2 linked regions of the Sus scrofa genome follow. The protein of the gene in region 2 binds, or shares a complex with, the protein of the main gene of each other region. Links are inferred from orthologs where the notes say so. Each region holds a gene or a part of one and is shown on either strand. Other genes may lie near its edges.

What was found. The genes of interacting proteins can lie anywhere in the genome.
Region 1: the proteins of KIDINS220 (region 2) and XPR1 are in contact, whole or in part, in a cryo-EM structure (PDB 9JXQ), measured with the Homo sapiens proteins. The link is inferred for Sus scrofa from reciprocal best matches to the Homo sapiens genes KIDINS220 and XPR1. Residues at the interface, in NP_065789.1 of Homo sapiens: Glu36, Cys37, Gln39, Asp70, Trp72, Met102, Trp105, Trp110, Tyr113, Lys114, Val138, Ile142, Trp143, Gly146, Arg147, Ser166, Asp167, Lys168, Tyr169, Gly170, Trp176, Arg179, Lys180, Gln198, Glu199, Gly200, Ala201, Ser203, Lys234, Arg267; in NP_004727.2 of Homo sapiens: Leu95, Lys189, Lys190, Gln193, Glu197, Ala200, Asn204, Glu205, Ala636, Asp637, Asp638, Leu641, Leu642, Gln644, Met645, Met646, Asp647, Gln648, Asp649, Asp650, Val652, Arg653, Asn654, Arg655.

The regions. Positions count from the first base shown.
Region 1 is NC_010451.4:122,234,003-122,244,406, reverse strand, and holds the start of XPR1 (xenotropic and polytropic retrovirus receptor 1), read right to left. Parts: upstream 6,454-10,404; 5' UTR 6,263-6,453; coding exon 6,194-6,262; intron 1-6,193. UniProt on the Homo sapiens protein: Inorganic ion transporter that mediates phosphate ion export across plasma membrane.
Region 2 is NC_010445.4:127,409,458-127,419,117, reverse strand, and holds part of KIDINS220 (kinase D-interacting substrate of 220 kDa), read right to left. Parts: intron 7,562-9,660; coding exon 7,463-7,561; intron 5,600-7,462; coding exon 5,501-5,599; intron 4,245-5,500; coding exon 4,146-4,244; intron 3,387-4,145; coding exon 3,209-3,386; intron 1-3,208. UniProt on the Homo sapiens protein: Promotes a prolonged MAP-kinase signaling by neurotrophins through activation of a Rap1-dependent mechanism. Provides a docking site for the CRKL-C3G complex, resulting in Rap1-dependent sustained ERK activation.

The DNA of each region.
Region 1 (10,404 bases), on a different chromosome or scaffold from region 2:
GAAATATAAAACCAAAAACACACAAGAAAATACTGGTTTTTGTTTTTTCTATTTTTAAGATAGCAAAAGAACTAGAATTTAATGACATATCTATCAGCCCATGGCACAGAGTAGAGCCCCTATAAATATTTGTTGAATGAATGAATAATTTTTTTACAGTACTTGTTCATGAGTGTTGTCTACTTGGCTTCTTTTAGCATTTACTAGGTAGAGTGAAGACCTGAAAAGGTAAATACAATTGGGCAAGAAACCTAGAGAATTTTGACAATTTCTCAGTCCCAAAGGCCAATTAAATACCAAGCAACCCACAAACTAGCTCTGGTTAAGTAGTACAACTTGAGCAAAATTTTCCAAATATTTTTTATAACATATCATTACTAAAAAAAAAAAAAAAAAAAAAAAAAAAAAAGCTTACTATGCACCTCCAATATAGGTACATTTATTTATAAATTATTTCCTTCTACATCTGTTTACATTATAAAACAAGGATTTTTTTTAATGGAAGTTTTAAAAGCTGAGACAATGATAAAATAAATAATTTTAACCTTTCATTTGTGAATAATACTAAAATATTTTTAACCTCCTTTAAGAAATTATCATCAGTAACAATACTTTTAAAGAACAACCTAACTGAAAAGATTCATTACTTTTTAAAATTTTAGTTTAACATTTCATGATAATAGTATTTCAAAGGCCTAGTTCAAACTTTAGGGTTCAGTTGATTTTGAAACCTGATTATAATGGCTGGAAAACAGACCTTTTAAAGACAAAATACTCTAATATATCATATTTATTTAAGGTGGAGTTCACTGTAAATGACAATGGATGCAAAACAGTACTTCAAAGAATTATCTTAATTATTTTGAAACATTCTGGCAAACTTCCTGTCAGATCTATTTAAGTATCACTGTTTTCTCTATAATTTGGCTGACAAAAAGCTAGTACTAGAAGTAGAATTGCCAGCTCTGCCATTTTCTTGATATTCACGTGTGCCTGATTATTGGTACTGCTGCTGAGGCTTCTTTACAGGAGTCTTTTTAAGTCACATCCATTTTATAAGGGTTCATTTAGTCAAAATTAGGTAACAGCCATATATACTCATTTAACTATGTACCCATAAACTGGATTAACCGCTGTTTGCCCTCCGACTACCTCCTAAACAAGGTCACTGTATTAACCCATTTATTCAATATTAGCAAAATTTTCTTTCTGTTTTATGCACAAAAACAAACACAATTAACATTTCTAAAACTATTTTCTAATAAGATCCTGCTGTATAGCACAGGGAACTATTTTCAGTCACCTGTGATGGAGGATAATGTGAGAAAAAGAATGTATGTATATATATGTGTGTGTGACTGGGTCACTTTGCTGTATAGTAGAAAACTGACAGAACACTGTAAACCAACAATAATGGAAAAAAATGAAAATCACTTTTAAAAAATAATAAAGAATATATACGTATGTGTATGACTGGGTCACTTTGCTGTATAGTAGAAACTGACAGAACACTGTAAACCAACTATAATGGAAAAAATGAAAATCATTAAAAAAAAAAAACAAAAAACAACTATCTTCTCTTACTCCATGGGAGTTTTGAGTACTCTCCTTTGGGGGCTATGATGCAAATATACTTGAAATCTCTAGCCAGCACAACTCAGTCTCTCAGATGTTTTCCAGATTAGGACTGGATTTGAAGCCAGGACTGATTTTCCATGGTCACCCCAGGTCAAATAAGACTCTTAGGTTCTTATGATCTGGGCCTTCACCCAAAAACTGATCCAAAACCAACCTTCAGGGATGGGAGGGCAAGTATAATCTTTCCAGGATACTCACTTTATTATACAAAAATACACAGGATACACACTTTATTATACAAAAATAATAAAGAAGAGTAATAGTTTTCTGTCTTATACAACACTCATTCACTCAGTTAAGAAACATTCTGAAATGCAAAGCATCTTACTGACATAATCATTTACAAGTGTTATTTTAAATATGCTATACTGGATTTTCATTTGCAGAAGTGAGTGAAAGAAAAAGTGTGGTTTGTGCCCCATCGGGTGGCCAAACTGGAAATTTCAAAACAAGTTCCAGCAAGGCAAGTTAACCCTAACTAATCAACATAATACCTTTGGGAAATTGAAGCCTGCAACACAAGTGTTCTCATGGGAGAGTTCTATAAATGAAAATCACAATAACGTTACAGCACTGTTTCCTTGCAATTAAAAATAAGATACACAGTTTATGAAGAATCTCTCTTTTCCAAAATCTTGCAACAAAAAATTAATCTATGACCATCATTTTTTATTTAAGTTAAATAAAAGTTTCACTGGGTCAGCTTTCCATTCACACATTAAAATATCATCAAAAAATTTTGAAAGGTGACAATTTAAAAAAGTGCTATTAACAATAATGCTTTAAGTTCTCTCCTCTTCATATATCAAACACAAACCACAAAAAATGCACAGAAATTTAGAGCTATATGGTCCTTAGAAAATAGAGCTCTGTGAGCTTAGAAACCATCAAGTCCAGTTCTCTCACTTTACAGATGAAGAGCTTAAAGCCCAGAAAGAGGAAGTGATTTCTTCAGGGTCACACAGTTAGGGTGACCTCACTACCAAAGCTTACACACCTTCTGCTCAAGAGACTAGCTGTCTAGATATGATCCTGGACAAGTAATTTAACCTTTCTGGACCTCAGTTTCCTTACTTGAAAACAAACAAACAAACAAACAAGAAGGCAAATAATCTCTAAATTCCCTTCAAACTCTAAAATCCCGAAATTTAGATGTCTCATTATTTTATTACCTTACAAAACTACAGTGCACACTGAAAAAAAAAAAAAAAATGCCACATTTCTGAGAAACCAAAGCAGCACAGGACCCTAGGGAAAAAAACACAAGTCAGCAGCCTACAACACCAAATATATTTGCTTCTTTTGCTAGTATTCTGTAAAATATTAATATGGTCATACTACTCTATTTGGCTGAAACTGGTCTAAATTAATTTTGATTAATCAATTACAGAGCTCTAAAATATACAATCACTGATTCCAAATTTTTTTTGCCAGTTTGTTTGTTTCACTGTCACCCGGATGCCACTGATTCTAAGTTTTTATGCTCTTATAAAGATTTATTGATGTTCTATAATATAAACCAAGATTTACACTCAACTAGATTACTGGAAACAGGGACAGTCTCTTCCCACTGTGTTTATTCTGTGTAAAAACTATTCCCAAATGGATCAGATTTTCTTCATATAGTTTCTCCATGTTGCTCTCTTCTTTTATGTTTTATCATTCTGTCTATGAAGACTGAATCTATGAACTCTACAATTCACTTTTAAATCAGAAACTAATAATTTTCAGGATACTGATGCATCACTAAAATTAATAATTTTAACAATCTAAAAAATAAAAGCCAGTGAAAGTTAAATAAAAAATCCTATGAAAAGCTCTGGCTCTATATTCTTATTTTATGAAAGAGGAACCTTGAAAAGGCAAAAAGACTCTCCTCAAAGCCTCATGACAAGCACAAATGAGAACTAGCAGTTATTGTATGACTGTGTGTACACAATAATACATCTAATCATAGATGTAAAACAGTATTTTTCAGCTTCTACCTGAAGCTCTGCTTATTTCAAGTAAAATTTGACATAGCAAAATGAAATAAACCACAAAGAAGCTGAACAGTTCACCGTGGTTCACAGTACTAGAAAGCACCCTATGCTAGAAATCAGGGGCAATACACTGAAATTTCATCATCAGTACTTGAAAAGCAAATTCAAGTGTCTGTTCTACTAACAGTGTTTCAAGAGCATCATCTTCATATATGAGAAACTACATGTTACTGCATTATAAGGAAGTTCATTTCTCTAGTAAATACTAATATCTTTTATGATGTCCTTTTTTTCCCCAAAGTTTTTAAGCTACTAAAATTCCTGGACTCTAAAGACTCTTATTTATGACTCTTCAACTATTTTTAAAGGAACAGCACCAGTTCTAGAGAAACAATACACAACAGATCCCAAGCCTCTAAAAAATGTCCTTAATGGCTCCAATTCACAAAGAAAAGTGTTTCTTATTAATTTTGCCTACCAAACAATGAGCTTATCCTAGTCAAGAGTCACATGGTAGGAATTCTCTGCAGAATAAAATTTCAATTATCCCCAATTAATGAATTTTTCAAAAAATAATTTATAATTGGACTAGGAAAGATAATGCAGTCACACATATGCTCAGGAATTTTGTTCCTCTGTGACCAACCTAAAGTAATCACTTAGGACTACTGTCCAAATGGAGTATGTGAATAAGGAATCCCAGAATTACTCCAGCCACAAAGCTGACATTATAAATCAAGAAGTAATTATGTATTCAAACTAAATCTTATGCTTCTCCTTCCAGCCCCAGAAATTGTATTCCAAGTTAATACAATTCTATGAAACAGCTGAGTGCTGTAATATTTAAAACAAATCATAGCATACAACCAACCACCATTACTTCTCCCCAAATGAAGCATTCCATACTACATAACAAGTATAAGATGTTGCTTCAGCATGCTGTGCTCTATGCTTCTATGAAGAACTGGCAGTGGTGCTGAAAATTACTACTAGAGAGATGAAAGACCAATACCTTCCTTTCAATAAAAACCATCATCTGGACTCTAGCCAAGGTTTTAAACTGACCAAACGTTATTAGAAACAATAAATCAAAACCTCTACAAGGTGAAAAGCTAGTCCCTTTTTTTCATTCTCATGAAACATAGCCACAAAACACTGTAAGAAAATTAAGTGAAAAGAAAGCATTAATAATTTTCGGGCTTTCATTTCTGGCAATAATCAAATACTGTATGTTACAAGGTGAATTTATTTTACAAGGTTCTTCAAGGTTTTGTTTAACCTACTTAACAATCCCTTTCCCTGTCTTCTTCAATTATTACAACTGTTATATGAATAAACTATTGCCTAAACACCTATCAATGAACTTAAAATAGAAATTAAATAGAGAACCAAAATATTTTAATTCATAAAACCTAGCTAGAATATTTGTGTTCATATTGATTTTATACTCTTTGTTCCTGCACATAACATAGATGTGAATTCCTGGAGGTTACAGATAAGTCTTTCTCTATCCAGGAGCTGAACTGCCAGTTAAGGAAAATAACCTAGTGCAATGCTTAAAGCCCTTCAGGTATCTTGGCTTCTGAATCCCTAAATGGGCTCACCACCTTTACTCTTCCTTTTATTAATGCAAGGTTCCTTATCACTATCTATTAAATACACTCCAAGAGCTGTTATTACAGAAATTAAGGGTGAGACGGGCCATGATTTCTGTAATACACAGGTATGTTTTCAAACTACATTGTTTACAATGTAGTACTTTTCTCCCTAGATAACAAAAAATTTAGGAAAGAAAATGTGAAAATTGTAAATAATTCCCTTCTCTTTCTTCCTTCCACTTCCCCCTTCATCCCAAAACAAGAGAAGAGCCAAAAACAAAGATAAGGATGTTTTATATACTTTGTATACTTTATGCAATCAGTGAAAAGACAAGTCAGCCTCATCAAAACAAAATAGCTGATTACGGTACGTGTGCATAGTGTAACCACTGCATGTGTAATACACATTTAAATCAAGTTTCAACCCTGTTACAAAGCCTTTGTCAACAGCGGGCAAGTGAAGAAAAGCTGAAGGGCTCCGTGGAATGAAGGAAATCACTGGAGGGGCTTATCTCGGAAGAGGATTCCTCGGTGAGAGGTGAGCAGAGAGAAACAAGACCTAACCTTGGCGAGGGGGCGCTCGCCCAGGGTGGGGACGCGAGGTTAGGGTGAGCGGGAGGAGGGGATTAGCGCGAAACCGCCGCGACCCCGGGGCTGCCCTCACACCCCGACTCCTCCACCTGCGGCTCGCCCTCCCACCGCCATTCCCCAGCCCCGGCCGGCTGTGCCTTCCCTCCCGGCCCGCCGCCCGCATATCCGTTACCCCGGCGGCAGCGGGGCTGCGGGGGAGGGGAAGGTCAGCGGGGCCCAGAGGGGGCCGGCCGCGGCGGGGATGCCGCAGTGGCTCCCCGCCGCACCGGGTCAAAGTCCGCCCGGGCGCGGGGAGGCAGCAGGAGCCGAAGGCGGCGGTGGAGGTCAGGACTGGGGAGATGGTGGCCCCTCAGAGTCCTCCCACTCCCCGGCCGCTGCCGGTACCTCATACTGGATGTATTGCTTCCTCCACTCAGGAGTGATGTGCGCGGAGAGGTGCTCGGCGAACTTCATCCTGCCGTCTCCCCCTCACTCCCACTCGGGTCCAGCAGTTACTGGCGGCGGCGGCAACAGCGACTCCGACTCCTCCCCACATGGGCCCCGGCGCGGCGCGGCGCTGCGCTTCTCTCCTCCTCCGCCGCCGCCGAGGTCTCCTCAGAGCCGCCCTCCCGCCATCTTCCTCCTCCTCTCCATAGCCCCGCCCCTCCCCGCCCCGCCCTCTATACGTCATCGCCATGGTAACCGCCTACGCCGCACCGTCGAAAAGGGCGGGGTAACGGGCGGTATTTTAGTATATTCCTTATAGCTCCGCCCCTCTGGGCCGGACGTGCCGAAGGCACCTCCCCTGACCTCTTCCGTCTGGTTCTTGTTGGCCTTACAGCTGCGCTCCTAACGCTTGCCTGGGAAGCTGTGGTGTTATTGCAATTAATATTAATACTGTAGCAACAATACTCCACAGAAGTTTATATTTGCAAAGATTTGTGCAAATATTTTTTCTTTTTAATATTTATTCTTCGTAAAACCCTTAAGGATGGCTCAACATTAATTCAAATTAAAAGCAGACTAAATAGGAGTTCCCTTCTTGGCGCAGCCGGAACGAATCCAACTACGAACCATGAGGTTGTAGGTTCCATCCCTGGCCTCGCTCAGTAGGTTAAGGATCTGGCCTTCTCGTGAGCTGTGGTGTAGGTTGCAGACTCTGCTCAGATCTGGCCTTGCTGTGGCTGTCTGTAGGCCTGTGGCTACAGCTCCAGTTGGACCCCTAGCATGGGAACTTCCTTATGCCGCGGGTGCGGACCTAAAAAAAAAAAAAAAAAAAAAAGACAAAAACAGACTAAATAGTTAAGGGCCATATGTATTTAAAGGAAGCTTATTTTACACGCTCTAGGTGCTGGATAAATGCTTGTTGAATTTACTTAAAGATATCAGTGCCAAAAATTGCATGCTGCTTCTGAATTTCAATGTAATTGTCTAGCCCCAGGGCTCCCAGAAAGGCCAACCACAACACCTGGACTCAAAATAGGACTGGGGTATCAACTGGACTTGTGGCTAAGCTTCGTGGGGATTAGGAGTGAGGTTTGAGAGGGAAACCAATGCTGGGAGGAAAGAGAATCCTCTTGAAGTACAGTAGGAACCCCACCTCCAAGGAGATCAAAAAAGGGGTCCAGCATCCAGGCTGACTCTTCTCAGGGAGCATAGAGAACAGATCACTCACACAGCTGGCACTATTTGAGTATGGGAGCAATTGTCCTGGATTTTGGACAGAAATCAAGGTCTTTCCCTGAGTGGAGGAGCCCTGAATAATAATTTATTAAGCACTTACTGTCCGTGGAACAAAAATTATTTTAAATCGAAGCAAAGTACTTTGTCCTTTAATTCTCACAATTTTGGTGAGATCCAAAGATTAAGTGGCTACTATGACTGGGACAGTGTTCTGTGATAACAGTATCTACTGTTGGTTTGGGTTTTTTGGGTTTTTTTCTCTATGTATTTTTCCCCTTTCCTCTTCCTCTTAAATCATGTCAGTAGGGATACTAGAATTATTTCCTCAGGACAGGGGATGATGCATGATGGAAAATAGTCATGGGCGATGAGGCTTTCTGATTTTTTGTTGTACAAAAGCCTCAACCTCTGTGAAAGGGTAATCAGGGAAGAAGAAGGAGGAGAAGGAGAGGAAGGAGAAGGAGAGGAAGGGGAAGGAGAGGAACGGGAAGGAGGAGGAAGAGGAGGAGGAAGACTCATCTCAGGTCAGCACTGTACTCCTCTGTCCACCATAACAATTCCCCTCTACTAGAGGTAAATGTTGCCAAGAGAGAAAGGCAAAAGAGAGGGCTGTGCTCCCAGAAAGGAAGTACCACCCAGAGAGGGGGTGGCTGCATGGTGTGCCTAGGAAGACAGAACCAGGGGTAGCTGCAAAAGCTATTGCTGGGCCTTTACCACATGTGAGCTGGAATGGAAGACTCTTTTTATTTATTTTGTTGTTGTTGGCTTTTTAGGGCCACACCCGAAGTATATGGAGATTCCCAGGCCAGGTGTTAAATCGGAACTACAGCTAGTGGCCTACACCATAGCAGCAACATCAGATCTAAGCCGAATCTGTGAGCTATACCGCAGCTCACGGCAACGCCAGATCCTTAACCCACTGAGGGAGGCCAGGGATAGAACCTGCATCCTCATGGTTCCTAGTCAGATTCGTTTCCACTGTGCCACGACAGGAACTCCAACTCTTTTTTTTTTTTTTTTAATTGAACTATAGTTGATTTACAATGTTTCAAGTGTAGAGCAAAATGATTTAGTTATACATGTAAGTTTTCAGATTCTTTTCCATCATGGATTTTTAAAGGAAACTATATATAGTTCCCTGTACTGTACAGTAGGTCTTATTTTTTATCTATTTTATATATAGTAGTATCTACCTATTAATCCCAAATCCCTAATTTATCCCTCCCCCTCTTTCCCCTTTGGTAAACACAAGTTTGTTTTCTATGTCTGTGAATCTATATCTGTTTTGTAAATAAGTTCCTAGATTCCACATATGTGAGAGCATATGATACTTGTCTTTCTTTTCCTGATTTACTTCACTTACTATGATAATCTCTAGGTCCACCCATGTTGCTGAAAATGGCATTATTTCATTCTTTTTGTAGCCCAATAATATTCTATTTTGTATATATACCACATCTTCTTTATTCATCTGTCCATGGACTTGTCCATGTCTTAGCTATTGTAAATAATGCTGCTGTGAACATTGGAGCGCATGTATCTTTTCAGATTAGAGTTTCTCCGGATATATGCCCAGGAGTAAAATTGCTGAATCATATGGTAACTCTATTTTTAGTTTTTCGGTTTTTTTTGGTTTTTGTTTTTGTTTTTTTCTTTTTAGGGTCACATGTGCAGCATATGGAAGTTCCCGGGCTAAGGGTCGAATCAGAGCTGCAGCTTCCAGCCTACACCACAGCTCACAGCAACAGCAGATCCTTAACCCACTGAGCAAGGCTGGGGATTGAACCCACATCCTCATGGATACTGGTTGGGTTCCTTACCGCTGAGCCACAATGGGAATTCCTATTTTTAGTTTTTTAAAGAAAACTCAATTCTGTTCTCAATGGTGGCTGCACCAATCTGCGTTCCCACCAGAACTGTAGGAAGGTGCTTTTTTCCTCCATACCCTCTCTAGCATTTATCATTTGTGGACTTTTTGATGATGGAAAAATGGCAGACTCTTGGTAGCAACTCCTGTAGACCACGGCATCCTGCTCCCAACAGCATCATATCTTGGTGCCTCAACTATGCACAAGATTCTGGAACCATGGCCCAACCCAGGGAAGAAAAGAAAGCCTCATATTAGCTCTATAACCAGCAGTTCTTAATTTTCTCATACCTGATCAAGGGCACTGACACTCAGTTGGACAGAAGTAGATTTAGTAATAAATTTCCTATCCCTAGTGTTACTTCAGATAGTTCACTGACAGAACCATCAAATACTTAGTATTTATTACACACCTACTTTCTATAGAGCCTTGTGCTAAGGTGCTAAGAATGATCGCCTGAATGGTCTTTTACTCTAATCAGAAGTAACTCTTACACTTTCTTTTGTAAGTAGGCAAATAATTCTTCATTCATTGAAATTTTATTGAGCACTGTGATATGCTTGCTATGCCACTTTGGGAATGAAGGACAGTTCAGAAATAAATAAGACTGTCTTTTCTGTGGAGGACATCATAAACCAAACAAAGACAGAAAAGGAGCTCCCACTGTGGCTCAGTGGCTTAAGGACCCAATGTAGTCTCCGTGAGGATATGGGTCCAATCCCTGGCTTTGCTCAGTGAGTTAAAAATCTGGCATTGCTGCAGGCTGCAGTGTAGGTCGCAGATGTGTCTCTGATCCCATGTTGCTGTGGCTACAGCAGAGCCCTTAGCTGCAGCTCTGATTCAGCCCCCAGCCTGGGAATTTCCATATGCCACAGGCGCAGTGTTGGTGGGAACGTAAATTGGCGCAACTACTGTGGAAAACAGTATGGAGATTCCTCAGAAAACTAAAAATAGAACTACCCTTTGATCCAGCAATCCCACTCCTGGGCATCTACCCAGAGAAAACCACGACTCGAAAAGACACATGTACTCCGATGTTCATTGCAGCACTATTTACAATAGTCA
Region 2 (9,660 bases):
ATTAGAAAGGAACATCAATCCTCATTTTTTGTTTATTTAGTTAGAGGGAAACAACCTTGGCGTTCCCGTCGTGGCTCAGTGGAAATGAATCTGACTAGTATCCATGAGGACGCAGGTTCAATCCCTGGCCTCACTCAGTGGGCTAAGGATCCAGCATTGCCGTGAGCTGTGGTACATACTGGTCACAGATGCAGCTTGGATCTGGCGTTGCTGTGGCTGTGGTGTAGGCCAGCAGCTACAGCTCCAATCTGACCCCTAGCCTGGGAACCTCCATGTGCCATGAGTATAGCCCTAAAAAGACATAAATAAATAAATAGGATCTTTAAAAAAAAAAACTTTTGTAAATGGTTAGACCTGTGTAAAATATTTTCAGAGATTCCTAAGTTAATACCATATTTCATTGAACTTAAGATACCTATAATTATAAAATGCATCATTATTACATACAACTAAGAAAGAAAAAAATGCTGCCAAATTGTGACATAATGCTTTCTTACCCGTCAATCGTAAGACATATTCCAATTTCAGAGATGCTAAAATGTGGAATAAGGTATTGGTTTAGCATCAATAAAATGATGAAAACAGAAACTAGCCCATAGGAATCAACTCAGTGTGTGCAGTGCCTACATAAAGAGGCTCTATCACATCAGTGAAGGCCTAATAGACAACCAGAGAAAAGGAGACAGGCTGCAGTTCCAGGCAGGAAGGCTCAATGACTTAAAAACAGGAATTGTCCCCAAATTAATCTACCACTTTAAAGCAATTCCAAGAAAAATCCATGAGAATACTGTGAAGAATCAGGAAGCGCATATAAGAAGCATTACGAAAAAGTTTTAAGACTACCAAAAGTGGTTGTCTCTGAAGAAGAATCAAAATACATTTTAAAGCTGCAATAACTAGAACATTACAGAACTTGCACAGGATAGTGACGTGAGTGGCATTTCCAATCAGTGGGGAAAGGATATATTAATAAGTGGTGTTGGGAGAAGTAAGCCACCTATTCTCAAAATGAAGTTAAAACTCTATGTCTTAGGCTTTAACCAAATAAATTTCTGAAACATTAAAAAATTAAATCCAGAGAATAAAACTCTAAAAGTACTGGAAGAAAATACAAGAGAAAAACCTATTAAAATTTTTGTGTGGAAAAGGCCTTTCTCAATATAATACTAAAGCCAGAGTGCAGGAAAAGACCAACAAATAAACCACAAATTTATATAACCTTGGGATAGGGAATTTAAAAAACCCATCCCCATAAATAAAGACTAAGCCGGGGAGACAGATACAACATGTAGGCTGGACCCTCGATCAATATCTTCAATATGTAAAGTCACAAAAATTATTTTTTTAATATGAAAAACTCAAGAAAAAAGCAGGCAAAGGATACAGAGAGGAAAACAGCAAAAACACATGAACATATTAAAAGATCTCAATTTTTCTGTTTTACTCATAATAATTTCACAAGGCACATTAAAACGAAATGTTTCCTCAGTGGTCTGATTGGCAAAGATTAAGGAAGCTGGCAATATCCAGCGGTGGCAAGGTTATAAGGAACTGCGCTATCACACATGATCCAAGGAGGAAAAAACTGTTGCAGCCATTTTGGATAAAGTCTGTCAAAACAATGAACAGCCGCTGACTTGCCAACTCTACTTTTGGGAGTTTAGTTTAGATTATTTTAAGAAAATAGTCTCAAAAAAGATTGTTAATGGATACATGCACAAAGATTTTCACTGCAGCACCAGCTTTTAATAGTAGAACAAATACTCATCAACAAAGAACTGAATGTACCATCAGAACCTAGAATGAAAGATCATGCAACAATTTAAAAATGGTATAGCTCGTTATTTAAAAATTTTATGATATGGTATCACTCACTTTTTTTAAGGCTATATAATAGCACAAAACATCTTTAGAAATGTAAAGAAAATCCTGCTAAATCATTCAAACAACTACAAATTGGGAGATAAGAGACAATGGGACATTTGCACTTTCTACTATATTTGTGTCTTCATCCTTAAAATGTAACGCGTGTTATTGTATTTTCAGAAAAAAAAAGTGTGCATTATTATCCTCAGAAAAAAATATTTTAAAATACAAAAACTTATAATGCAATAGAATCAGACTTAAAAACAAGATGTAAGTAAACAGCTAAACTGAGAAGTGACAGGACTCTACTATCGCCTGCTGGTTTCTGAGACCAAAATGTCTCTTTTTAAAAAATTCTAGTAGAAAATTGTTCCGTGTTTCAAAAGACCACATACAAATGATTACATTCTCATGTGCATCCTTTTCAATCAAAAACTATTTTAGTACAATATTCAACAGGCTATGCTAGATGTTGCAGAGGGCGTACGATAAGAAGAAACAGCCCCTGTCCCGAAGAACCTGAAACCTGGAAGGGAGAAAATTCTAAAAGAAACAAAATAAAAGGCCACATATAATAAGTTTTAAAAAGGGAAAAACAAACACAAGTGCTTAAGTATGCGAATGAAGCAAATTTTGTTTCGTTTTGTTTTTAGGGTCGAACCCATGACATATGGGAGTTCCCAGGCTAGGAGTTGAATTGGAGCTAGAGCTGCCGGCCTACACCACAGCCACAGCCAGATCTGAGCCAAAAACATCTGCCACCTACACCACAGATCATGGCAATGCTGGATCCTTAACCCACTAAGCAAGGCCAGGGATTGAACCCACATCCTCACGGGTGCTAGTCGAGTTCTTACCACTAAGCCACAGTGGGAACTCCTGAAGCAAACATTTTATCTGGTGAGGCTGATCAATTAAAATATCACTGAGAAGGAGACAAGTGACTCCAGCCTTGGAGAGAGGAGATTTCAACCAGAACATTCACAGGACAGAGAGAGCACAGCACAAGCAAACTGAAGTGCTTGAGGCCTGCTCGGAAGAGAGAGCACGTTTTGATAAAAGTATACCTGTGAGAATAACAAGGGAAAAGATTTTTAGAAAAGCAGGAAGATTTTTGGAGGTCTTGAAAGCTGACTGTTGACTCTGAATGCGCTTAATTCAGAATGCCAGAGTACAATGCAAGAGAGCTTCGGACAGTCAGAAGCTATTTTTCCACAGTAAAATAGTAACTTCCCCAACTTGCATTAGCTCCAGTTAAGCAGTACATGCCAAATTGCCGTTGGTCTCAATTTCTTCATAGACAGTCACTTCTTAAAATCTCAGATACAAAACCCATACTTACTGGCTCCAAATATCTGAGTTAAAATACTTTTCTGATGGCTGCAGTCAATGTTGTAGGGCGTCTCGCCGGCTTTGTTGGGCCTGTAAAGTAACCTGCCGTCTTTGGGGTTTCTTAAAAGAAGCTCCGCCAGCTTCCGGCTCCTGCCACGAATAGCAATATGCAAAGGAGTGTCTCCTTTCTGCAACACAGGGGCAGGAAACCCGACCAGTCACGTTGTTTACACATGGAATGTACAATTTTCATGTTTCTATAAAATCACAGAAAATCTGAACTTTTCACATTTTGCAGCGAATGCATGAGTTATATGAATTTTCAGGGCAGCACGTGCAGCATATGGAGGTTCCCAGGTTAGGGGTCGAATCAGAGCTACAGCTGCCAGCCTACACCACAGCCACAGCCACGCCAGATCCGAGCCACATCTGCGACCTACACCACAGCTCACGGCAGTGCCAGATCCTTAACTCACTAAGCAAGGTCAGGGATCAAACCTGCATCCTCATGGATACGAGTCGGGTTCATTACCGCTGAGCCATGACGGGAACTCCCATGAACATTTCAATAAAAGGACGAAGAGGAGGACATACGGCAGAACACTGTCCCCCCCCCCCACCCCGCCAGTGAACGTGAGCGCCAGGCAGCTTTGAGCGTATCTTCTCCAGCCCCTTTCTCCGCAACAAGCCCCCCACCTGGGACAGCCTCCTTGCATGTGGTCAGTGCAGCTCCCTGTAGCCGCTGTGAGCCTTGGCAGGTCAGCTAGAGCTGCCGCTTTCACAGCACGCTGAGCCGCCCACTCCTCAGCACACTATCAAGATACCACGGCATCCAAATCCCACACGGATATCCCCAGCAAGAAACCTCTCCCTCCGCGAAGTAAAATCGGGCCCCCCCCGAGGCCACCAAGAGCCCTCTGAAAAACGTTCCCTGCCTGGATGCTTACCTTATCCACAGCAGACACTTTAGCTCCTTTATCTAGCAGCAGCTCCACCACTTCAATATTTCTCATCTTGGTAGCCTTTATAAGAGGTGTTTCACCATCCTGTGGGCACAGATAAGAAGGTGTTGCTGGATTAACACCTTTATTCCTCACTGTTTTAAGCCACATAAACACACATGTCAAGAATTCAAATAATCTGAGAAGTCTATATTGAAAACGTTCTCAAGAAAACATAGTTGAAAAACTAACAAGCAAGTGCCTCTCCTTTCCCAGCCAATCATTTGTATCACAATACTTTTATCTCACTCAGGGGCACGGGATGTGCCCATCACTTATCAGTCGTTTCTGCCCTGGGCTCGCTGCTCCTGCCATTCCCAGGTCCCCACACCATCCGCCATCCGGGCAGCTCCTCCAGAGGCTGTTGCCCTGTCTCACCATCTCCCCACCAACCGCCGCAGCCCCCAGCCTCGAATGTCCAGGCGAGCCAGCATCTGGACCTGTCAGATGTCTACACCAGCACCTCTGTCTACAACACGGCAAACGGGCTCGTACAAGCGGCATGCCTTGGCAAAACCTCCAAGGAGTTCACAATTGCTTTCGAAATCAAATTAAGAGGAATAAGAAGAAACCACAGTTCAGCTCTGAATTAGGAAAAAGCCAACGTTGCTCAGAAACCACATGGAACCACATGGTCCAAAAGAAAAAGAAAAAAGATTACCCAGGAGCCACCACCTGTAAACCAGAAGATACCCCAGGAAACACTCTTCCCGAGGGCACTGAGGTTATCATCACTGGTTTAGAAAATGCTGCTCCAAAATCTACAGCAAATGAAATAAGAGGGTTTTATGGGTGATTTCATAAGTTTGCTTTATTCGTTAAGAATTCCTGCCATTTCAGTCCAGAATTCCAAATACATTCTCCCTTGGAAAACTGTTTCACATGACGTCAAATATAACGACTCAAGTCTTAACAGTTTTACACTTTCCACATGAATTGAGTAAAATAAACTCAAGTGGTTGGCCTGGGGAGTCACTCACAGGGACCTTTCAAAAGGAAACGTGGTCTGCCTTCCAAACCACAGGAGCCTGAAATATTTCTGGGGGAATGATCTGTCCAGAATTTATGAAGAGCTGATACCACACTTCCTGCAAGTATTCAACTAAAATAACAAATTACACAACGCATTCTCCTGGGAATACCTAACTCCTGAAAGGATACAAAGTTACTCTTCAATTCAATACAGAACTTTACCATAAAACCAGTATAATTCCAGTATCAAACCACTGTAAAAACTGAAAATAAGAAGCAGTGTTAATATTTCGCACTCAGTATTGCTGAGACAAGAGAGAAGTGTATACCTTCGTGCATATTTCAGTGTCGGGGTTGCACTGCAGGATATCTCTCACCATTGTCGCATTTCCTTTCTCCACAGCCCAATACAAAGCAGTTTTATTGTCCTATATAATTAAAAAAAACCAACAATCACTTCATATACAATATGTTATAAACAGCTACTTAGAAATATAAAATAATACTATTAACACTTCTATTAAAATATGAATAGATCTTACCAAGCAGCAGCATGAGAGAAAATAGGAATCTTGATTCTCTCTTGCATTTACTTGTGAGAAATTCTTTATGGAAGAAGCCTAGGAACACTTAATATTTCCTGACTCAAAAAGCAGCGACCCCCCACAGCTGATAAGTGAGCTGTGCTTCGGGAACGCGATCAGATTTCAGGACCCTGCCCTGTCGGAAGTCATCAGTACCCAAGCTTTGCATCCTCTGATAAATCAGGTAAATATTCGGACCCCTGGCTTTTGGCTGTTCGTCTGCCCAATCTTTTCAAAGATAATGCATGAGAAATACTACACAAATACAAGGTGAACCGTTTTAGCATTTTTAGTTTTCTTAATCTCCTCCCCGTACCCATATACTGATCTTCATCAGATTCTTTAAAATTCTAGTTTTAAACCAAAAATCGATCTATATGAACTTTGAAAACAGAGCTGGGGCGGGGGGGGGGGGGGAGACTGACTAAAACATAGGAAACCAGAATTGACCGACACAGGAATTAGATGAAAGTCTACACAGGGGCTCCTGTGACCCACTTTTAGCGAAAAGATGATTTAACACCCAAGAGAGGGCGAATGACTTCCTGCTGCTGCCACACAAGATCTCCTGCACCAAGGCTGCCTCGCCGGAGTCCCCTTCTCAGAACTGCACGCCAGCTTCCAACCTTCTACGCGCGGCACCCACGCCCCTCTGGCCCTACTTCCCTTTCTGCCTCCACCTCTCGTCCCACGCTGCCCACGGTCCCAGTGACAACCTGGTTTATTCACCAGCTGGGGAGTACAATCTTTCACCGTCCACTTTTCCTGAGCTTTCTCATCCCGTTCTTCCACTACCCTTGCCGGATTACCCAGCCTTCCTTTTCTCTCCCTAATCCCAACCTGTTTTTCAAACTTAGCTCAAATGCGCCCTTCCTTCGAAAGCTTTCTTAAGGCCTGCTTTCCCCACGTCAAGTCTCGTACACTGGAACCTTTCACTAGGCGATCAATCGCATACCATCTCATTCCAAAGCAGCATCACTTTTCATGGTCACATTAAAACTTAAGAATAAATATAAACGAAACAAACTAAAACCTTCCTAACTAAAATATACGGTTCTTACAGGCAAGGCTCATGGCATTTGGTACAATATTTATTGTTTTGATTCAAAAATGGATTTGGATACAAGCTAAATGCAAGGAAAAGACTGAGCAGAAACGTAGACTGTCCAACCACAAAATGGGCTGTTAAGCAAGATTTTTTTTTTTTAATCTAAAGCTCTTGACATATCAGATAAATTCACAACTTCAGAGACGCTTTTAACCTAAAATCGGTAACCTTTACAGCTCTATGAGCTCTGACTGTCTTCAGCAAAGTTCACAGGCACAACCAAGTGGTCCTGGGAAAGGCTAACAGAATGGTAAAAAGGGGAAGAAAGATAAAACAACAGGAATAGAAGGAAAATGTACGGACGAAAAAGACAAACAGGGGCTGCTGAAGAAAACAGGATGCGTACACTCAGCGTGCCACCGACTGTCTCCACAGCACAAACCACCCACTTCAGGACTGAATTTCGATATTTCTTTAGACATAAGGAAAGGAGGTGTATTTGAAAAACCTGAGCTTCTTTATGGTTTACTTCTGTCTAACTTGACACGAATACAGAAATCCCATGATAATGGCAGTGAAGCAACAGAATCGGCTCCCATTACACAGATGAGGGTTTATAAGCTTATCTCCATAGGAAACAGCACTGTATTCACACGCACCTGTCCTCTGATGTCTATATCGGCATATTTTTGGAGAAGCGCTCGAACGATTTCCACGTGACCACCTCTGACCGCGCCAATTAACACAGTGTCTCCACTCTGAAAAGACAAAAAACCAAGGTGAAGGGATGATGAAAACAAAAAACACTGTTTTGAAGTGAAGATTATCCACGTGTTAATATCAATAGATTTTTTTTTCCTGAAAAATCCTTGGGGAAAAACACTATCTCTAAATAATAGAAAGTTTTTAGTTACCAATATGAACAGCCTTCAGAATAAGGGATAGAAGACTTTATACTTCAAAATGAGGACATTTATACCTGAGATTTCCGGACAAAAAGTTTAAAAGGGTAAGTCACCCAGAATAAGCCATTCTCTTTGCAGGTAACCTCTCATTTCAAATGTAAATTGAATAAGAGGACCCATGGCTGTCAATGAACCAGATGGGCATTTGGAAATTACATAACACAAATCCCTTGGAATGATGCTAGATGACAAAAGCCATGGATTCTAAAAAAAGGAGCTGTAGAGCTAGAGCCATCTGTGGGTTTATCACCACGTTTAATGAAGGGAGAAGGGTGGTTCCCAGAATAGCACCTATACCCTATGGACCTGGCACTGCAGGCCAGCAGTGCACCAGACTGACTCATCCCCAGTACAAGGCGGAGACGAATGAAGCTCATTACCTCCTAAGGACATCTCTGCCCTGAGATTATATTCACCAAGCAATAATCACTAGTAATTGTATCTCCCCGGGTTTCAAATGCTGCAAATGGCCTTTGTTAAACTGCTAAATCACAGACCAGTCGCATGGGTTTGGGTTGGGTGATTCCATCACCTACGGCTCGTCTCAATCCTAAGGGGGCCCCGGCGGGCTGGAAAGCAAGGTGCAGGTCCTTGAGGATTCTGACGCCACGCTGAAGTATCTTAACTTCCACGTTAAAAGTGTACAGAAACCCCCAGCAGACACCCTTTAGTTGAGAACGTTAGCATTAATGTGGGTCCAGACTGGAAAATGAATAAAAGCGTCTAAGTATTTGCGCCATGGACTATTACTCCAGGCGCTGGGAAATAAGGTGGACAAGCTCCCACCCAGCTCTGAGAAAATCCATAGTCCCGGAGACCGACAGACGACAGACACAAAGAAAAAGTCAACTAACTGTCATGCAAATAAAATGCAGTGATGTAAGAGAAAGTGATGGGGCAGACTGGGTAGCTGGAGAAGACCTTTCTGAGGAGGTGACATTTAGGCTGAGATGGGAAGGACAAGGAGGAGCCAGCCACATAAAGATCAGTGTTCCAGGCAGAGCAAGCTGCAGGCGGCCTGTGGCGGCGACGAGCCCAGTGTGGTCAAGAAAGGGAAGGAAAGGGTTAAAATGGCTGCAAACTACTGAAACGGGAGGGAGAGGCACAAGTGAGGACAAAGCGTGAGGCCAGACTAAATCAAGAGGTGCTTATAAACCAAAGAGGGAGCACGCATCCCGCGAGCCAGAGGCAGTCTTGGAGCACACGGAGGATGCGCTGCTCTACGGATCACGCTGCGAACTAGCGAACACAGGAGACCTGGTTAAGGCAGCACTGCTGTAATGACGGGAGGTGGACCTGGAAACGAAGGCAAGTGGACAGATAGAGGGTGCGGTTTGGACATAGAGCCAGGGGAACCTGCTGAAGGCGTGGATGTGGAAGGTGAGGAAAAGAGAGAAATCAAGATTAAGGCGCAGTGTAAATCCACTATGCTGCGATAATATTTTTAAAAAGACTACTGCGCAGGACTGAGGGCTTTCACAGCAGGGGAGATGCTGTGCTGCTGTCCCAGACGGAGAGACGGAGGGAAAAGCAGCTCTGGGACGAGGCAGCATGAGGTGCGCTTCGCCACACGGAGCCCATTACACATTCGAGCGCAGGGTTCGAGCAGAGCTGGACATATGAGTGAGGACGTCGAGAAAAGGTTATGGCAAGAGATACAACTTTAAAAATTTGAAAATCCTAAGTATAAAGGTGGTATTTGAAGCAATGGAACAACGAGTAACACCAGCCATGAAGGACACCTACAGGAAGGGCTGTTTCAATAGGACATTTTCATTTCGTTTGTTTGGTTTTTGCTTTTAGGGCTGCACCTGCGGCATATGGAGGTTCCCAGGCTAGGGGCTGAATCAGAGCTGTAGCTGCCGGCCTACACCACAGCCACAGCCACACAG